Linked DNA regions of Callithrix jacchus. The protein of the gene in region 2 purifies or fractionates together with the protein of the main gene of each other region. This does not show direct contact. Links are inferred from orthologs where the notes say so. Each region holds a gene or a part of one and is shown on either strand. Other genes may lie near its edges. The genes, in order: PRKAR1A, GSK3B and PPP2CA.

Region 1 (3,651 bases), on a different chromosome or scaffold from region 2:
CCTGGCCTAATAGAGGTTTCTTATTCACAAATGAAGAGGGAGAAGATCAGGAAAAATACCTCTTATGTACTTTGCTTACTACCTGGGTGACAAAATTATCTGAACACCAAATCCCTGTGATACCCAGTTTACCTGTATAACCTACACATGTACCCCTGAGCTTAGAAAAAAAAAAAAAACTTATGGCAAAGATAAGTCTGAATTTTAGAAAGACTGGACACCAATAGCATTGATTTTTTAGGATTATTAGGAAATTCAGTGACCTAATGCAAGTAAAATGCTTAGCATAGTGCTCAGCACAGTTCTTTAAATATATATGACTGGTATTAGTGCTGAGCCAACCTTTTTCCCTTACATCCTTACAGAGTGCTTTTTTTCTTACCAGATAATTAAATCAGGTAAATTATAAAGACACTTATTTAACCCATCAGAAATCAATTATTCTCTGATGTGTACTGAAAACATAATATATTCTGTTTTTTAAAACAAAGTTCAGGATTGTGATCTTTTAAAAAGCTTTGAGGGTTTTTAACATTTATGTGTTTGTGTATCTAGAAAAAAACTTTTTTGCTGTCACTTGCACTTTAGGTCTATGTCAACAACGAATGGGCAACCAGTGTTGGGGAAGGAGGGAGCTTTGGAGAACTTGCTTTGATTTATGGAACGCCTAGGGCAGCCACTGTCAAAGCAAAGACAAATGTGAAATTGTGGGGTATCGACCGAGACAGCTATAGAAGAATCCTCATGGTAAGAGATCATAGCGTTTGAGAGTGTGATTTAGAATTCTCATCTATGTAACTCATGTTTGAATATTACCAAATTAAAATCAGAATGTTTCTTATAATGAGAAAATACTTTGCATTAAGCCCAGCTTAGCATTATTCATTATGCCATTTTAGACAGTGATATTTTAGAAGAAAAGCTTGGGAAACAAGATCTGGGTATATGTGCCAGTCAGCTCATGTTTGGAAATCTGTGCATTTGCTGGTAGGCACTTCTTAATTTGCCTAATTTTACCCATCACAGATAGCCTGATAGGTGTTGCTTTTAAGGGCCTAATGTTATTTGGGGCCATTCAGACATAATCAGCTTCCCTAACCTATGAAAGTGGGTTATCAGTAATGCATATGTATGTCACATCCCCGCTTGTTAAAGGAATAAACAAACTAATTGGAACATTCTGGTGATACAGTCAGACTTTCGGAGAACTTTGTGATGAATTTATAGAATAGCTTTGGATGTTTAAGTCCCAGCCAATGCATTAGTCATTTTGAATGGTTTTCATTTGAAAATGTACAGTCTGATGTACTTTGAAATTTTTCTGCATTTGGGATATATATATAGATTAGATAGATAGTCTTGTCCTTTGCAGCAACACAGATAGAACTAGAGACTATTTTTCTAAGCAAACTAACACAGGAACGAAAACCAAACCAAACGTTCTCACTTACAAGTGGGAGCTAAACAATGTGAACACATGGATACTAGAGGAGGAACAATAGACACTGGGGCCTACTTGAGGTGGGAAGAGGGAGATCAGGAAAAATACCCCTTATGTACTTTGCTTACTACCTGGGTGACAAAATTATCTGAACACCAAATCCCTCTGACACCCAGTTTACCTGTATAACCTACACATCTACCCCTGAGCTTAGGGGAAAAAAAAAAAAAACTTATGGCAAAGATAAGTCTGAATTTTAGAAAGATTGGTTTTGAAATGATGCGATGGTATACTGAAGAAGAAATTGATCATACAGTTCTGATTTTCTCTGCAGGAATACTGTTAGTAAAAGGAAATGTAGAGTGTTTACAGCTTTATCTCATTGCCAAGGAAGAGTAGGACCTAGAACTATTGGTTTGAAATAAAATACTTTACTTTCTCATAGTGGGCCTGAAAGGTAGTTAGGGCCTCACAGTGCCTTGGCTTTGTGGACAGGAATTAGGGACTATAGATATGGGGTGAAATATCTATATATCTGGGTAGGGGAGGGTATGGTCCTTTTTTATAGAATAAAGAAATGTCAGTTTTATAGGTGAGAAGCCAAAACTAATGGAGGAATCTGCATCTAAATATCAGTGTTGAACAGGAAGAACACTAGGATTAATGGGACGTAAATGAAGACTTAGATCAATTTTGTGAGAAAATATTTTCAGAGATAGATTGAGTTGTCAGTGGCGCAAAATCAGTTTGAGAGTAAACATGGAAATTGTGCATTGGTGTAAAGTGTGTGGAAAAATATCTTGGGTGATACACTCAGGTATAAACCGGTATTTCTACTGTATTTGAAAGTTGGGAAATGCTTTGTGAAATATGTCAGCATACTGGTTACAGATGCTGGGAATTGGGCATAATATTGGCAGAAAATATAAATCACAAGAATGTCATTTTATATCATTACCTGTAAAATAAAAATCAGTTAAAATTAAGTTTTCTTCATTAACAAAAAGCAGCAACAAGCTTTGACTTTCTGGTTTTAAAATTTATGTGAAACTTAATATTTATTCCATAGTATTATGTGGTGATAATTGCATGTCTTGGGAATATCACTTTTGTTTTTATTTTTAGGGAAGCACACTGAGAAAGCGGAAGATGTATGAGGAATTCCTTAGTAAAGTCTCTATTTTAGGTGAGTTGTAAAGTGTGTTGACTGCTAGTATATGAAATACCCCTGAATTAAAATTGGTTGGACTTGGGAAGAGACTTCTGAAAGTATCATTGCTACTCCTTCCCCCTTAAGAGAAAGAAGGGCTGAAAGTCCTGCAGACTGGACATTCAGTTATTTTCTCTCTGACTTCTGTCTCTTGTTCTATCATTGAGTTGATAGGTTCAGAAAAGTGAGTACTTCCAAGAATATGTTTCCTCTGTGGAAAGATTAGGTGTCATTTGCTAGCATCATCATCTGAAAACATACCAGAAGTTTGTTGAAATTTAGAGTAAAGCAGATTAATTGAAGATAATCTTTTGTGCATTTTGTTATGGGGACTTGGAGATGTTGTTAGCACTTGTTCTTCACAAAGGGGGAATGGGGATTTTTATAAGATAACAGGCTTCCACCATTGTTTCTTACAGTTAATTGACTGCCCCCCCCACCCATTTGTCTTTTCTTTGAATTGGTTACATTTACTTTGTGTTTGGATCGTAGTTTGGCCTTTGGGAATAAAAGTTATTTTCTAGTTCTTGTTTCATAAAGTTAACGGAGGATTTAAGTAGATTAAATTATTTTGACGAAACTTTGGAATGATATGGATGGGAAACTATAACTTTTGAGTATTGTAGTTGTGGGTTTGATTTGCACTGATGGCAATCTTCAGGAATACTTAATGATTACGTTTTCTTACTCCTTTGCCATTGGGTACAGTTGGTATAAATTAACCTGGCCACTGGGACTGAAGTAAGGATCTAAGGGCTATCTGCAGGTAATATGAGAATCCTGCTCAGCCTAGAGGTAATTGAAGACAGGCACCATGTTTAATCTGAGACACTACTAGAATGTTGAATGGGCATGGCTGTTTGGTTGAATCTCTTTATACTTTCTTTGTACCTTCATGGTAGCACCAAATAATACAGAGCAATTCTTTTGATTCTTGTCTTTTAGAGTCTCTGGACAAGTGGGAACGTCTTACGGTAGCTGATGCATTGGAACCAGTGCA
Region 2 (3,751 bases):
TATCTAGATGTAAAACAAACAAACATTCCAGTACCACAAGAGGCTCGAAAGTAGCTATTAGAAGACTTGTACCATTATAGCTGAAAATTACCCTGGAATTTAAAAATATTTTTCAAATGACCCCATGAAGTACTTAGAAAGCAGGACCCTTCCCTGAAATATGCATAATCAGCTTTCCTCTTTACCTACCCCAGCATTCATTTGCAAGACACCTAAAAAAAAAAATTTAACTTTCAAAAATAATCTCCAATTCAGCTATTACCTAGACTATCCTGTTTCAGGCTAGTTCCCAAAGCCAACATGAATTGAAACGCTGAGTTCAACTAAAAGTGATCATTTTATGTTGCCTAAAGATATAATCAATTTCACATAACATACATTTGGGGGGGGGGGTTCTTAAAATCTCAGTTCTTTAGTTCTTCTAGGATACAAAATAACTTGTCTTTGCCCTTATCATGCCCCTCTTTTCCACAATAAGGAAACAATATAGATATTTTTGTTAAATTCTGGAAGTATGTTTAAACAAGCTATCATTAAATACCACATGAACAGCTCCACAAACAGAGATACACTGGAACATTAGATACTTGGTATATACTAAACACTTCAAGAGCATACTTTTCAGCCCAAACCCAGGACGAGAGTACAATGTATCCACAACCTTGAACGCAGCCCAAATATCCCTATTATTTCTAGGACCACAGCCATCTGCAAAAGCCAAAATGGAAAGGACTAAATCCACATTCTTCTAACTAAATCCAGTGTTACCTAAATGAGGTGGTAACTAACGCAAGAGTATTTTAAATGTCCTTTTTAAGGAACCCCCCTGTACTACAGAACATTTAACAGGTAATGAATGCAACAGCACTCCAAAATTTAACTTAAATGATAATGAGCCAGTGACAACATTTAACTTAGTATTTGGCACGATGACAAAACAAACAAAACTTGGACCTATTAATATTTCCAAGTTACCTTTTGATTAAATAATTATACAGTGGCAGGTTGATAATGTCAAAACAGGAGTTTAAGAGATAACACATCAAACCACTTATCCAAATTGAAGACAATGCATACAGAGATGCTACTGCTGCTGGGTATTTATTGGCTCCCACTGGTCCCTTCTAAAGGGAGAAATCAATGCCAGTCTCCAAATGTGAATGGTTACTGAGGAAGTTCATCCACAGATTAAGAATATTATGTATAGTCATACAGACAAGAAAAAAATGTTGGGAGAGTGGGACATTTCACGTTTCAATAAAGTATACCAAACTATGATAACCCCTGAGACCTAAAATACCCTCACTCATTCCAAAAGGCATACGTTCTGCAAACGTACATAATGGTTTATGAATCAAATCTTGTCCTCTTTATTCTAAAGGATGAGCAAGTAAACACTGTCATCACTAATATAACGTGGAAACACTCAAGCACTTGATGAAACTAACTACCAACAGCAAGAAAGTATACGAAAAGAAAGCAGTTTCAAATCGAATCGTCCAAATAAAAATCATATTCTCTCAATTCAAGGTTAATGAGACCGAGGGAGGGGGTATGGGAGAAGAAGAGAGGGAGCTGCTTCATTCTTGACTGAAGACAGGTTTTGCTCTTTTGCATTACCTGTTTGACTGTTTTATGAAGAGGTCTATTATTTTCAGATTCTGGTATTCCGAGGTTTCTAAGGGCGAGGCGGAAAAGGAGTGTAAAATAAAATCAATACTCACTGCTAACTTTCATGCTGCCAAAAGCTGAAGGCTGCTGCACCGGCTTGCAGCTCTCCGCAAAGGAGGTGGTTCTGGGCCGCCCTGACATGATCGCTCTCTTCGCGAATCACCTTTTCCTTCCTTCCTCCTTTTCTTCCTTTTGTCTTTATGTTGGGGTGTTAGGTTAATAATAAATGCAGCATTAAGTCCTCCCACAGAAGAAAAAGAAACAGACTCGTCCTTTCGGCTTTCCACTCCTTTTGTATACTATAAAAAAAAAGAGCGATGTATTTTTCCTTCAAGATAGGTCTGCACGGATATTTAACATATAGATGATTTAGGGCTGGGGAAAAAAATACAATTCTTTCCCCTTCTTTTCTTGGGAGGAGAAAAAAGGGGGGAAATCCTAAAAAAATATATATCACATGAAACGGGGGCAAATACTTGATTGAAAATGAGTACTTCAAATATTATATTTTCCTCGGGGATTTTTTTCCGAGTCAATGAAGAAGGGAAGCGGCGGAAGGATCACGAGTCTCACGCTTGAAGAGAAAGGGGGATGGGAAGGAGGGAGGGAGAGGGAGGGGGTGGCTCGGAGAGGCGACGGGAAACGCTGCAGCTCCGGCAGCCGCGGGATCCGGCGGGCTGACGGCGGGGGCCCGGCGAACTGAAGGGCGGTGGAGTCGCGAGTCAGTCAGAGACGGGCGGTGGCGGTGGCGGCGGCTCCTCTCCTCATTGCGCCAGGAGCAGCTGCAGGCGGCGGCTGGATCCAGCGGCCATGGCGGCGGCGGTGGCGGTGGCGGAGGCAGCTCCCTTCAGACCCCAGGCAGCGGCTCCTCGACTGCTCCCCATACGCAAGGGACATGGGAACCCGGCAACCGCTTCCGTCTCTCGGGGCCCCCTCCCCCGTCCGCGGCACCAGCGCGGCCGCCCTCCCGCCCCCCCCGCCCCTCGCCTCTGCTCGGTGCCCGCTCAGGAAGTGTCCGCGCTTTGCCCCCAGCCCAGAGCCCTGTCAGCGGCTGCGGGGCCGGCTCCTCCTTGCTTCCTTCCTTCCTTCCTTTGTCACTCGGCCCGGGCAGCGGCGGCGGCAGCGGCGGCGGCGGCGGTACAAGCCCGCATTCGCCCGGGTCGGGGGCTGCTCTGTGTGAGGAGCGCTGTCTGCGCAGCCGCCTTGCACTTCCCCACTCCCTCCTCCCCCCTCCTACTCGTCCTCCACCTCCTTCCTCCCCCACCCAGCCTTACACCGCCCAGCGTCCAGCCGCCCGCGTAACAGGCGTCTGGGAATCGCCGGCCGAGCCCCGCGCTCGCCCGCTTCGGCTTGGAGCCGAAGCCCGAAAAGAGCCAATCGCGGACGTCGTTTGTTTGCGACTCCTCCCGGATGAAGCCGATCGGCCTGAGAAACCAATTAGAAAATGTCGATGGGAAACCACGCCCAAAGAGCGGAAAATGCCGAAGGTAGCCGTACGGAAAGGGCTGGCTAGAGGAGACATTCGACAATGGCAACTGGGGCCAATCAGAATCGCCGGCCTCATGAAAACGCTTGAAGAGTTGAGGACGGTGAAACCCGGAGACGCTGGTGAAACTGCACGGCTGGGCGCCGCCACCGCTTTGTAATTGGTTGGAAAACTCCACTGGGAGCGTACCGCCCTTGGTGATTGGTGAAGGAAAGGGGGCTTCCGAGGACAGTCTAGCCAGTCAGGACTTCTCCTCCTTCTCCAAGGTGGGGAGAAGAAAGCGAAGGGAGGGCGCCTATAAAGCGCCGTCTCATTGGCCTGAAGCTTAGGCGCTGGAGTTGGGGCAAAAGGGAGAGGGAGGGAACCCGAAACCCGCAACGGTGGCCAATCGGCTCTCACTGCCGTTCAATCGCAAGACCTAGCTGCAGTGTGATTGGCCTTCGGCCTTGGTCCCAGGGAGCGGGGAGAAGCCCGACTGGGGTAGTGGCTGACGGCCTGACGGCTAGGCAACTGCCGCCTCCAGCAACGGTGGAGACCGCGGGTCCCCTGCCTAGCAAGTCGGAAAGTACTATGGTCGGCAGTGCTGGGGTCTGA
Region 3 (3,651 bases), on a different chromosome or scaffold from region 2:
CCGTGAACGCATCACCATTCTTCGAGGGAATCATGAGAGCAGACAGATCACACAAGTTTATGGTTTCTATGATGAATGTTTAAGAAAATACGGAAATGCAAATGTTTGGAAATATTTTACAGATCTTTTTGACTATCTTCCTCTCACTGCCTTGGTGGATGGGCAGGTATGTGGATCTTAAAACTCCTTGCTGGTTATTTCAGACTCTGCTTTCTTTAATGTTGAGGTGCTCATGACCCTTTCCACTCTTTCTTTCTCTCCTTCCTTCCTTCCTTCCTTCCTTCCTTCCTTCCTTCCTTCCTTCCTTCCTTCCCTTCCTCCCTCCCTCCCTCCCTCCCTCCCTCCCTCCCTCCCTCCCTCCTCTCTCACCCAGGCTGAAGTGCAGTGGTACACACTCTGCTCACTGCAACCTCCACCTCCCTGGGTTGAAGCAATTCTCTGCCTCAGCCTCCTGAGTAGCTGGGATTCCAGGTCCCCGGCTAATTTCTTTGTATTTTTTTTAGTAGAGACAGCATTTCATCATCTTGGCCAGACTGGTCTTGAACTCCTGACCTTGTAATCCACCTGCCTTGGTCTCTCAAAGTGCTGAGATTACAGGTGTGAGCCACTGTACCCAGCTGACTCCACTCTTACACCACTTTGGGAATATAGTTTAGTAGAAATTGATAACATTCATTCAAACTTTAAAAAAATTTTAATCTGACAAATAATTGTGTCCGGTTTTTTAAGTGCATTATTATTTATATCAGGCACTGAACTATATGGTGGGATCACAGAGGTGGATGGTGTAACCCGTATATCCTCTCAGACTGTTTTTGGACAAGCCTGGGAGATGTAAGGAGCTAATTATTGGTTTAGGTAGATGTGTACACAAAAGAACTTACAAGAAAATTTTTTGAGTGTGAAGACGTTAGTGTCTGGCAGGGAGTAGGAGTAATATCCAAGAAGTTTTCTCAAAGGAGCTGTTAAAGGTGGAGTCTGGGTGTGACAGCAATGGTCTGTTAGGAAGAATGGGAGTGTACTCAGTAGTTCAGAGTGGGCTGGAGCAAAGATGTACCCTGCAGAGTCAACCCTCATTCAGGCAGAGCTCAGAAACACCAGTGGGGCCCAGTGATGGGGGCACCCAGCTCAGTTTTTTAAAATTTTATAGAGACACAGGGTCTTGCTGTGTTGCCCAGGCTGGTCTCAAACTCTGGGCCTCAAGCAGTCCTCCTCCCTCAGCTTCCGAAAGGGTTGCAGGCATGAGCCACTGTGCCCAGCCAAGAATGTTTACCAATTTTTTAGGTGAGGTTAACATTTTAAACCACTCGTTTCAGATATTCTGTCTACATGGTGGTCTCTCGCCATCTATAGATACACTGGATCATATCAGAGCACTTGATCGCCTACAAGAAGTTCCACATGAGGTATGACTTTTATTTGATAATACGTTTTCTGAAAAGATTTTAGGGAGTGGAGAAGTTTAATTGTAAGTTAGTTCATTATATGTATTCTCTCATTTAATTCTCAAAAACAACTTGAGGTGTGAGCATTCTTTCTGCCCTGTTCAGAAGAAGCTGACATTAAGAAATCTGCCAAGATCACAATAGCTATGGAGCTTGGTTTATTAGGACCTAGGTTGTCTGTTTCATAGCTCTGAAATTTGCATAATATAGGCAGATTAATAGGGCATGTTGCTGTTGGGTCCCATGGATGTCAGCTGTGTCTCATAAAGACTGCTAGAAAATACATCTTATTTGATGCAGATGTGTGACTTCAGTTGTACAATCTATTAGCATTTTCCACAAACATCACTCAAAAAGGGTGACTTAGGTGCTGCTTCTGTTAAATTACTCAAATACTGTGTTAACCATGTTTGTTAAAGGCAGTTTATAACTTGAAGTTACTTTTTAGGGTCCAATGTGTGACTTGCTGTGGTCAGATCCAGATGACCGTGGTGGTTGGGGTATATCTCCTCGGGGAGCTGGTTACACCTTTGGACAAGATATATCTGAGACATTTAATCATGCCAATGGCCTCACGTTGGTGTCTAGAGCTCACCAGCTAGTGATGGAGGTATGCTCTGTTCTTTGAAATACGACTTGCTTCTTAGTAAACTTAAGGAAAGATATTAGGGAATTTTAAATTAATGACTTGTGAGAAATTCCATTTATTCCTTCTGATGAGTTTGCCGTTACAGCCTGAGCCTTTTCAGTAGATGGCACACAAGAATTAAAAGCTCAAGCTTTTGATTACAATTAATTAACCATTAACATGTTTTCAGAGAATTCTGAATGGAAGTGCTTTGGGATTTAAGAGTGGGAAAGTAAGATGTAGGGAGTTGGAGTGTGTGTATAATATTTTATTATCCCACTGTTTATTCCATATATTTAACATGTATGTGTGTAGGAGAGACTGGAAAGAAATACACTAAAATGTTTTAAATGGTCCTTTGGTTAGTAGGATTACAGGTGATTGGAAAGAGACTAGTGTTCCTTTTTTTTTTTTTTGAGATGGAGTCTAGCTCTTTTGCCAGGCTATAGTTCAGTGGCGCCATCTCGGCTCACTGCAACCTCCACCTCCCAGGTTCAAGCAATTCTCCTGCCTCAGCCTCCCAAGTAGCTGGGATTACAGGCATGTACTGCCATGCCTAGCTAATCTGTGTATTTTTAGTAGAGACGGGGTTTCACCTTACTGGCCAGGATGGTCTCGATCTCCTGACCTTGTGATCCACCAACCTTGGCCTCCCAAAGTGCTGGGATTACAGGCGGGAGCCACCGTGCCTGACCAAGGCTAAGGTTCTTGACATGGCACACTGATGAGCATATTTTAAAAAATAAAGTCCTAATTAGTTTAATACTAGTATAACTCTGTGGGTATTGATAAAATCTGACTTTGCTAAAGATAAATTTGTGAACAGTACTAAACAAAAAGTAACAGAAGTAGCTCGTACATTCAGATGGATGGACTTTGAGGAAGCAAGGCTGGAAAGACTAGAGGCATGTCTCATTTGTTCCTGGGCAGTGAACCACACACTAATAGGCCTTTACCTATGACAAGAAAATTAGTGAGGTTATGGTCTCCAGGATTAGGTGTCTACCTCTCTAGGGAATGGCCACATAAATACTTATTCTTAAATCAGGTTTTAAGGCCACTGCAGTAGAAGAGGCTAATGAGACACTACCATTTTCAGCAAGTCAGATGCATAAGAAGCAGTTTATTCTTCGGTGGTTGGTGTTGTTTGTTAAAGGCTTTTTTTTTTTTCCTTTTTAGTACTAAAAAACTGAGTTTTATAATTAGGGGAAAAACAAATACATGTGTGTCTTACAGGTTGTATAAAAAGGGTTATTTACAGATTGTATAAGGGATATTTACAGGTTGTATGAAAAGGGATTATTATTACCGCAAATTCATAAGTCATCCAGAAAAAAAGCATTAATGTTTCTTAAGCCTCTTTGGCAGGGGTGGGAATGAGTAGAGATTTTCCCTTGAGTGAAGTAACATTTAGTTGTAAATAAGGGAGTAAAGTAAGATATTTATCTCATTTTCCTTGTAGGGATATAACTGGTGCCATGACCGGAATGTAGTAACGATTTTCAGTGCTCCAAACTATTGTTATCGTTGTGGTAACCAAGCTGCAATCATGGAACTTGATGATACTCTAAAATACTC

Evidence for each region.
Region 1: the proteins of GSK3B (region 2) and PRKAR1A purify together in Homo sapiens (affinity purification with mass spectrometry; 3 studies listed by BioGRID and IntAct, with this or other methods). This does not show direct contact. The link is inferred for Callithrix jacchus from reciprocal best matches to the Homo sapiens genes GSK3B and PRKAR1A.
Region 3: the proteins of GSK3B (region 2) and PPP2CA purify together in Homo sapiens (affinity purification with western blotting; 3 studies listed by BioGRID, with this or other methods). This does not show direct contact. The link is inferred for Callithrix jacchus from reciprocal best matches to the Homo sapiens genes GSK3B and PPP2CA.

What each region holds. Positions count from the first base shown.
Region 1 is NC_133506.1:124,604,253-124,607,903, forward strand, and holds part of PRKAR1A (cAMP-dependent protein kinase type I-alpha regulatory subunit), read left to right. Parts: intron 1-588; coding exon 589-747; intron 748-2,566; coding exon 2,567-2,627; intron 2,628-3,596; coding exon 3,597-3,651. UniProt on the Homo sapiens protein: Regulatory subunit of the cAMP-dependent protein kinases involved in cAMP signaling in cells.
Region 2 is NC_133516.1:82,767,671-82,771,421, reverse strand, and holds the start of GSK3B (glycogen synthase kinase-3 beta), read right to left. Parts: upstream 2,850-3,751; 5' UTR 1,813-2,849; coding exon 1,725-1,812; intron 1-1,724. UniProt on the Homo sapiens protein: Constitutively active protein kinase that acts as a negative regulator in the hormonal control of glucose homeostasis, Wnt signaling and regulation of transcription factors and microtubules, by phosphorylating and inactivating glycogen synthase (GYS1 or GYS2), EIF2B, CTNNB1/beta-catenin, APC, AXIN1, DPYSL2/CRMP2, JUN, NFATC1/NFATC, MAPT/TAU and MACF1.
Region 3 is NC_133503.1:74,131,441-74,135,091, forward strand, and holds part of PPP2CA (serine/threonine-protein phosphatase 2A catalytic subunit alpha isoform), read left to right. Parts: coding exon 1-166; intron 167-1,316; coding exon 1,317-1,406; intron 1,407-1,893; coding exon 1,894-2,055; intron 2,056-3,535; coding exon 3,536-3,651. UniProt on the Homo sapiens protein: Catalytic subunit of protein phosphatase 2A (PP2A), a serine/threonine phosphatase involved in the regulation of a wide variety of enzymes, signal transduction pathways, and cellular events.